Linked DNA regions of Canis lupus familiaris. The protein of the gene in region 2 interacts with the protein of the main gene of each other region in a biochemical or structural test. Links are inferred from orthologs where the notes say so. Each region holds a gene or a part of one and is shown on either strand. Other genes may lie near its edges.

What was found.
Region 1: the proteins of SLC9A1 (region 2) and TESC form a complex in vitro, tested with the Homo sapiens proteins (4 studies listed by BioGRID and IntAct, with this or other methods). The link is inferred for Canis lupus familiaris from reciprocal best matches to the Homo sapiens genes SLC9A1 and TESC.

Annotation. Positions count from the first base shown.
Region 1 is NC_049247.1:14,024,603-14,028,704, forward strand, and holds the start of TESC (calcineurin B homologous protein 3), read right to left. Parts: upstream 2,801-4,102; 5' UTR 2,747-2,800; coding exon 2,689-2,746; intron 1-2,688. UniProt on the Homo sapiens protein: Functions as an integral cofactor in cell pH regulation by controlling plasma membrane-type Na(+)/H(+) exchange activity. Promotes the maturation, transport, cell surface stability and exchange activity of SLC9A1/NHE1 at the plasma membrane.
Region 2 is NC_049223.1:72,484,607-72,488,106, forward strand, and holds part of SLC9A1 (sodium/hydrogen exchanger 1), read left to right. Parts: intron 1-581; coding exon 582-1,042; intron 1,043-3,500. UniProt on the Homo sapiens protein: Electroneutral Na(+) /H(+) antiporter that extrudes Na(+) in exchange for external protons driven by the inward sodium ion chemical gradient, protecting cells from acidification that occurs from metabolism.

The sequences.
Region 1 (4,102 bases), on a different chromosome or scaffold from region 2:
CCAAGTTGCTTTACCTCTCTGAGCCTCAGTTTCCCTATCTGTACAATGGCCATATTGCCATCTTCCACGGAGGATTATCATGAAGATTCCACCAGAGTGCAGGCAAAGCATTCAGCACGGAGCCTGGTGCTCAAAGAATGATGTCCATCGTCACCATCCTGTGTTCATCCTGCTCATCATTTCCAGAGGGAGTCCTCAGAAAGGGACCAGACTGACTCTTCAATTTAGGGACCATCCTGGTCCTGGAAGAGGCAGGGGCCGCTCAGCAACCTTGTGGGCACAGCCTGTTCCCTGGCTGACTAGGCCTTGGGCTGAATACTTCCCAAGGATTCTTGTAGGAGCAGGGCCCTGGGAGTGGACACTCTCACGCCAAGCTAAGCACTTCACATATACATCATCTCACTGAATCCACGGAACCACCCGAGGATCCAGATGGGGACGCTGACACTCAGAGTGTCATGTAGCTGGGAAGAAGTGGGATCAAGCCTGAACTCTTAGCCGTGGTTTGGAGTGATGGGGACAAACAAATGGGTTTAAAAACGTAGCCAATACTACTAAACACCTGCCCAAAGCCACATACCTAGCAAGATCCTTTAAATCCGGCTTCCCCCTGACTATGGCTGCATCCTCATCTCCTACAATTATCATTTGTCTTCAATGTCTTCCTGCCATAGGACCTTTCCATGTGCCATTCCCTCTGTCCCAAACTGTACTTTCTTGCTGATCTTTGTGTAAACGGTTCCTTTTTATTTGAGTTTCTGCTCCATTTTGGCCTCCTCAGAGAAGCCCTCCTGGTCTCCCCTAAGGAAACGTTTCCCTACCCTTCCCCTGACTCTCATGCCACTGTGTGTCTCCCCCTCAGGAACATGAGCCTCTCTGGGTCACCTCTAAGTCCCCAAGTCCTCTTGATCAATGAATTCTTGCTGAACGAGTTAAAATGCCTAGACTGTGCCAGCCCCTTTCCGAGGACTAGGGGGATCTTTCCACCTAAAGTTCAAAGAACTGATGGCATTCCTTCTCCCTTCTAGACTGACCTCACAACCTCTTTCCTGATGCGCCCCTCCCTCATCTCCCTTCACCCTTTGGAGTATGAAAGTGGAATCCCAGGCAACTAGAAGGGAAGCTGCATCAGCCACTTGCAGGAAGGCTACAGGGGGAGCACTCCGCTCTGTCTTGCCCACACAAGACTGGACCCAGGAAATAGACATGACTTCCAGCATGCTCTGCGGTCCCATCACCTGTCACACTCCCCACCAGATGGAATTCCCCCCAAGTGCCTGCGTGGGGGCTGCCACCATGCTGGCAGATGTCCCAGCTACAAGGAACCCCAACTTCCACCAGTCCAAATACAAGGCACCAAGAGGTCACTTGGTGACAAAACCGGGGCGGGGGGAAACCCAGGAAAGAAAGAGGGGAATCCCACCTCTCTCACGTTAGCCGTGGGGTTGAAGTGCACTTAAAACTTTCTGAAGTAGACTATTTACACTGGATTCAAAATGAAAATATAAAAAATTTACTGTGAAGAGCTCACCCCCTCTCGGTCCCTTCCACCAAATCTGCAAGTATTTGCTATTCTTACTTCCTTGCGGATCGTTTGAGTTCTTGATGCAAACAGATCACAAGTATAAGCTCTTAGTATTTTTAAAAAGTGTTGCATGTTATATGCCCTACACATTGTGTATACTACACACTTTTTCCTCCAGTCACGGATAGTTCTGTGCCTGTCCACGAGAAGATGTAACGCAGCCCCATGTGATGTGTGCGTCTGTACAGCCAAGGAACCAACCCACCCCCCCACCCCAGGTACTGGGGGGCTTTCTGTCATTTTCACCGGACAGAGGTGTTTAGAGTTGGGGTCAGCAGGGGTCACGCGCGGCTGGGTCCCGGTCCCCCCACCCCCCCACCCCCCCAGGTGGTCAGTCACGGCCCGGTGGGCTGCGCTGAAGTCCAAGCAGGTGGCGGAGGCCGGCTCCTTCCCGGGAGCACCTTCCGCAGCTCGCACCGCCGGCGCACGGAGCTCCGAGCTCCCACCAGCAGGACGTCCATTCTGGAGGCGGAAACGGAGAGATGCAGTGACTAGCCCAAGGTCACACCGCCGGACGCCGCGTGCGCGCGCGGGACTCCCCTCCCGCCGCCGGATCGCCCCGGGCCGGCCCCGCCTCCTCACCGCACCCCACGGCGCGGGCCCAGGGTGGAGTCCGCGGCCCCCCTGCCCCGCACCCCCGCGGTCGGCGCGGCCAGCCCGGCGGGGCGCGGGGTGCAGGGCGCGGGGCGCGGGGCGCGGGGCGGCCAAGGTCGCGGGGCTCCGGCCACCGGCTGCGCGGACCGGCTCACCCCAGCACCGGCGGCCGCCCGGGTCCCGCCGACTTCGAAACTTTCCGGCCGCAGAGCCGCGGCGACTCCAGCCCGGAGCGGGGCGCCCCCACCGCGGACGCCGGCCGCCTGCCGGGGGGGGGGGGGTCCCTCGGGGCCGCAGCCCCCAGCCCCGCCGGCTCCCCGACACTTACTCAGCATCGCCGCAGCCCGCCAAGCGGCCGGCGGGGACCCATTTGCGGGAGAGGGAGACTGAGGCGCGGACGGGGCCGGCTGCGGGCCAAGGTGACACGGCGCGGCGGGGGGCGGCGGGGGGCGGCGGGGGCCGGGGGCGGCCGGGGCCGGGGCGGGGGCGGGGGCCCGCGCGGTACTCACAGCCGGTCTTGCCCACGAGCTCCCGAACCTCCTCGGACGCGGAGTGGGCCGCGCCCATGGTGCCCGCGGCGGCGGCGGGGCCCCGGGCTGGCGGCGGCTGCGCAGCGGGGGCCGCGTCGGGCGGGCGCGGGTCGGGACGCGGGTCGGGACGCGGGGACGGCGGAGCCGCGGGTTCCGCGTGGGGCGCGAGCGCGGCCTCTTATAGCGGCCAAGGGCGGCGCCCCGCGGTCCTAGCGCGCGCCGGCTTCGCGCACTGCGGGGATCCGGGAGCGCCCTGCCCCGCGGCCGGCAGCGCTGCGCGGGGGCCGGACCTCGGGGCCCACCGCCGGGGCGCCCCCGCCCCCAGGGCGGCCGCCCTGCTCGCCCGCGCCCCCCCTCCCGGCTCTGGAAGGAGGCAGGTGTCCGCACAGCTGGGGCGTAGGTGGGCGCAATCAAATCCCGGAGAGGTTCCACGTCCACCTGCACCCCGGTTCCATCACACAGCTTCCCAGATCTCAGAAGGGGAACTCACCCGGGACGGTGAAGAAACACAGCCAACATTAATTAGCTCTCTGGTGAACAGCAATAAAAGTAATGTAATCATAGTAATCCACCTTGAATGCGCACAAGGTGCTTTGCTGGTCTTATTCCCGGAAAGCCCCAGGCCCCTCCCCAGCACCTTGATGAAGCGGACACACCACGTGCCAGAGCGGCCCATCCCAGTGGCACAGCCCAGGAGCTTGGGGTGGGGGAGCTTTCAAACTTGAGGAGCAGGCAGCTTCCTGGCCCTGCCCCACCCCGCCCCGACTCCCACCCAACACCCCCATTCTGGCTCAGGCAGGACCCAGGAGGCTGGGTCTCAAACTATCCTATCCGGGGAATGTAATACAGGTGGCCTCCAACACGCCTGCGAGTTTTGCCTTGAATTGGCTTAAGGAATTGGATTCTGTGGTCAGGCTGGATGACCAGGGCCAGTCCTGCCACCTGTGTGACCGTGTTTCCTTCTACTCAGCAAGGGGACAGTGATAGTTAGTGAGATGTCCATCAGAAGGGCCTGCCACAGGACATGGCACAAAGCAGTTGCTGTGGAATCACGTCCATTTTACAAGGGAGGAACTGATTCTCAGAAAGGTCACACAGCCAGGGCAGAAATTCAAAGTCAACATTCTCTGGTTCTCAAGGCCAGACTACCGTGCTCCACGGTGCCTGGTGATGAAGCTATCAACGTTCAGCATGTATTCAGTGTACGTCCTGGGTGCCAGGCTCCGTGACATTGCCAGGGTGGGGGCATGGGCCACTTGGTGCTCACAAAGACCTGGGTGGGCCCACCTACATTAGTTTCACAGAGCACTGGGGAAAGGGTGCTGAGAACCGGTTGCCCATACCTATAGACTACAGGCCCAAACTGAGGGTCGCAGCCCTCCAGGGGAATCCT
Region 2 (3,500 bases):
GGGAGGCCAGACCTGGCTTCTGTCCTGGTTCTGCTACTGATTTGCTGTGTGCCCTTGGGCAAGTCCCTTCCTCTATCTGAGCCTCAGCTGCTCCATCTTTAAAGTGGATAGGATTAGGCTAGAAACAGGATGGCAGATAGGTTTTATCTCACATGGAAAATTGATTGATCTCTGTTTGGCTTCTTGAGCAGCTCTCTGGACTCAGCAGGAGAGCACATGAGTCTAGGATTGGAGGTGTAGGTAATGCCCTTAGATACCTGGGGCCTCAGTAAGCAATGTATCATTCTGCCTTCCGGAGGCATACAGAGCCACTTCTTTCTACTCTTTTATGACAGAGACAGAGATAACATCTATATATCCTAGAAAAAAACATTTTAAGAGCATCATCACTTAGTTTATACAGCGAACCCTGGGAAGCTGGTATTACCACTTCCACATCATGGGTGAGGAGGCCAAGGCTCAGGGAGTTAACAGAGCAGCCCTCTGAGGCCAAGCCTGCACTGCTGTCACCAGCCCCATCCCCAGCCTCGTGTCCTGGCTCGCCGCAAGCCCACGGCTTCCCGTTCTCTTGCCCTCTGCAGGTTTCCACGTGATCCCCACTATCTCGAGCATTGTCCCGGAAAGCTGCCTGCTGATCGTAGTGGGGCTGCTAGTGGGGGGCCTGATCAAGGGCGTGGGCGAGACGCCCCCCTTCCTGCAATCAGACGTCTTCTTCCTTTTCCTGCTGCCACCCATCATCCTGGACGCTGGCTACTTCCTGCCACTGCGGCAGTTCACTGAGAACCTGGGCACCATCCTGATCTTCGCTGTGGTGGGCACACTGTGGAATGCCTTCTTCCTGGGCGGCCTCATGTACGCCGTGTGCCTGGTGGGCGGTGAGCAGATCAACAACATCGGCCTCCTGGACAACCTGCTCTTCGGCAGCATCATCTCCGCCGTGGATCCGGTGGCCGTGCTGGCCGTCTTCGAGGAGATCCACATCAATGAGCTGCTGCACATCCTTGTCTTTGGGGAGTCCCTGCTCAATGACGCCGTCACTGTGGTGAGGAGCAGTGGCCACACCCGCATGCACCCGGGGCTCAGACCCGAATCCGGGTCCAGAGCGAATCCCACATCCACCTGCTAATCATAGTAGCGAAACAGCAAATGTCCATTCCTGCTTGCTGTGTGCCAGGCATCGTGCTGAGCACTCGATGTGGATTATCTCATTTAATCCTTGTGATGACCTTAGGAGGTGCTTCTTATTCCCACTTTATGGAGGAGGCAGCAGGCCCCCTGAAGTCAGATACCTTGCTAACATGTGATAGGACCAGGGTTAGAAGCCAGGGACTTCAGGGCCTGAGCTCCTGGCCTTCCCAGGCCATATGTTCTGTCCCTGACTTGGACTGTGATGTGAACTTGGTTAAATTATGTATCATCTTTAGACTTCAGTTTACCCTTTATAGGCCATTTAGTCTATGAGGGCCAGTTTAGCCATCATGTTGGCTGTGCCCTACGTTACAGTTCAGTTTGTGTAGAGTTCAGGGGCAGCCGTGGTGGAAAGGGACCCTGCCCTCAGAACATCCAGAAACGGTGCCTACGTGGCTCAATCTGTTAGAGCCTATGACTCTCCATCTCAGGGTCATGAGTTCTAGCCCCATGTTGGGCATAGAGCCTACTTTAAAAAACTAAAATAAAATTTATTATAAAAACAAAAACACAAACCTCCAGAAAGTGATAAATAAATGGATTGACCTGAGCTTGGCCACTTGCTTATTATGTGACCTTACGCAAGTGACTGTACCTCTCTGGGCCTCACCTTTGTTAGCAGCAAAGTAGCCGAGTAGGTAGTACTTTCCTCCTATGGTCTAGCAAGGACAGGAACTCCTAACGCGGTCCGCACATGGCCATACTGTACGTGCTTACACATGCCCTTCCTCCCAGCTAGCTTCCTCAGGAAACAGATATGTGTATGTGCACACTCACATCATGTTGTGAAAATACCCCCATTCTCCTCCTAGTTGGACTGCTCAGAGAGCAGCTGTACACACAGGAAAACACAAGGACACGTGTGCATGCCAGTGCATACTCACACATGCATTCCCTCTTTACCTTCCCCCAGTCCCTCAGGAAGCCACACTTCAGAGAAGAGACAGTGGTGGTTGGCTTGTCCTCTTCCTCCCCTGTTGCCTTCATTAGGTCCTTGTGGGGCAGCACAGCAGTCTGGTCTAAGCAGGCAGGCCTCGGTGCTGGTCCTTCTAGCACCAGCTCCTGCCTCAGTTTCTCTATCTGTAACAAGGATTGCAGTACCCAGCCTGTCATTCTCCCTGGGTTCTTATAGGAGTCACACCAGTGGGTACCAAAGACCAAGCCCTCTCCAGTTGGATCTGAGTATTGGGTTCAGGTTGGCACTCCTGGGAAACAGTGGGGTGCGGTTATATCAAGACCACCTTGGGCTGCTGGCCACACCTCCCCAGGTGGTGGGAGTGCTGGTGTTAATTGCTCCTGCTCACTTCCTGTCTGAGCACTTCCTGTCTGAATATGTATTGCCTCATCTAACCCAAACAGAAACACCATGAAGTTGGCACTGTATTTATCCCCAGTTTTTCCAAGTGAGGAAATAGCTACTAACAGGGAACTCGTCCAGGGGTATGTTAGCTGGGCCTGGGACCTACACAGTGGGAGTCCAGAATGCACACACTTGCCACTATGCTGCGCTGCCTCTGTAGTCCCATTGATAGTACAACCTGGTGGAAAAGGAGGAGCTTGCCCTCTCTACCTGCCCTGTTGACCCAGATGGTAGACCCTCAGAACCCATGAATCTCCTCAGGCCAGGAGTGAGTTTAGGTGGCCTAGAGCTGAGAACGCACCTGTTGTCCACTGCTGGAGCCCTGCCCCAGCTCCCAGGCAGCACTGGGGTCAGGCCAGTGCTTGGCATCTCCCCTTCTTGCTTGGCCCAAGTCAGGCCCTTTCTAGAGTTCTGGGCATGAGTGTGACTCTTTCCCAACATTAAAGCAGAAGGAGCCCCTGGGCTGCATGGTCTCAGGCCTTTGCTCTGGAGCAGGTCACCCCTGCCCATGCCTCCTTGCCTGTAAGTAGCAGGGGCTTTGGAGAGTTCCTTCTCAGCAATTCTCAGGCCCTCTTCCCTCTCTCAGCGGCCCCAGGCCTGGAAACTGCCCAACTGTTTTCTTGGCAGAGCTGGCTAGGAGTAGGTCCAGTAGCCAGGGAGCCAGCCCCTAAGTAGAGGCAGAGCCTCAAAGTTGCCCCTCTCCAGGAGAGCCTACCCACTGCTGTCAGGGAACAAGTTCTGGGTCTGGTTTTGCCATTGAGGACTCCACCACTCTGAGCTTCAGTGTAGGAAAGGAACCTGGCATCCTTGGGTCGCCTGCCTCATGAGGCTGTTGTGTGTTTAGCAGGATAGCCATTGTCCAAGGGCTTTCTAGTATGTGACCTGCCACGTAAACGTCTGACGATAGCATTACAGTGACTGTTTACTTCCTGGTCTAGGAGGTGGAGAAACA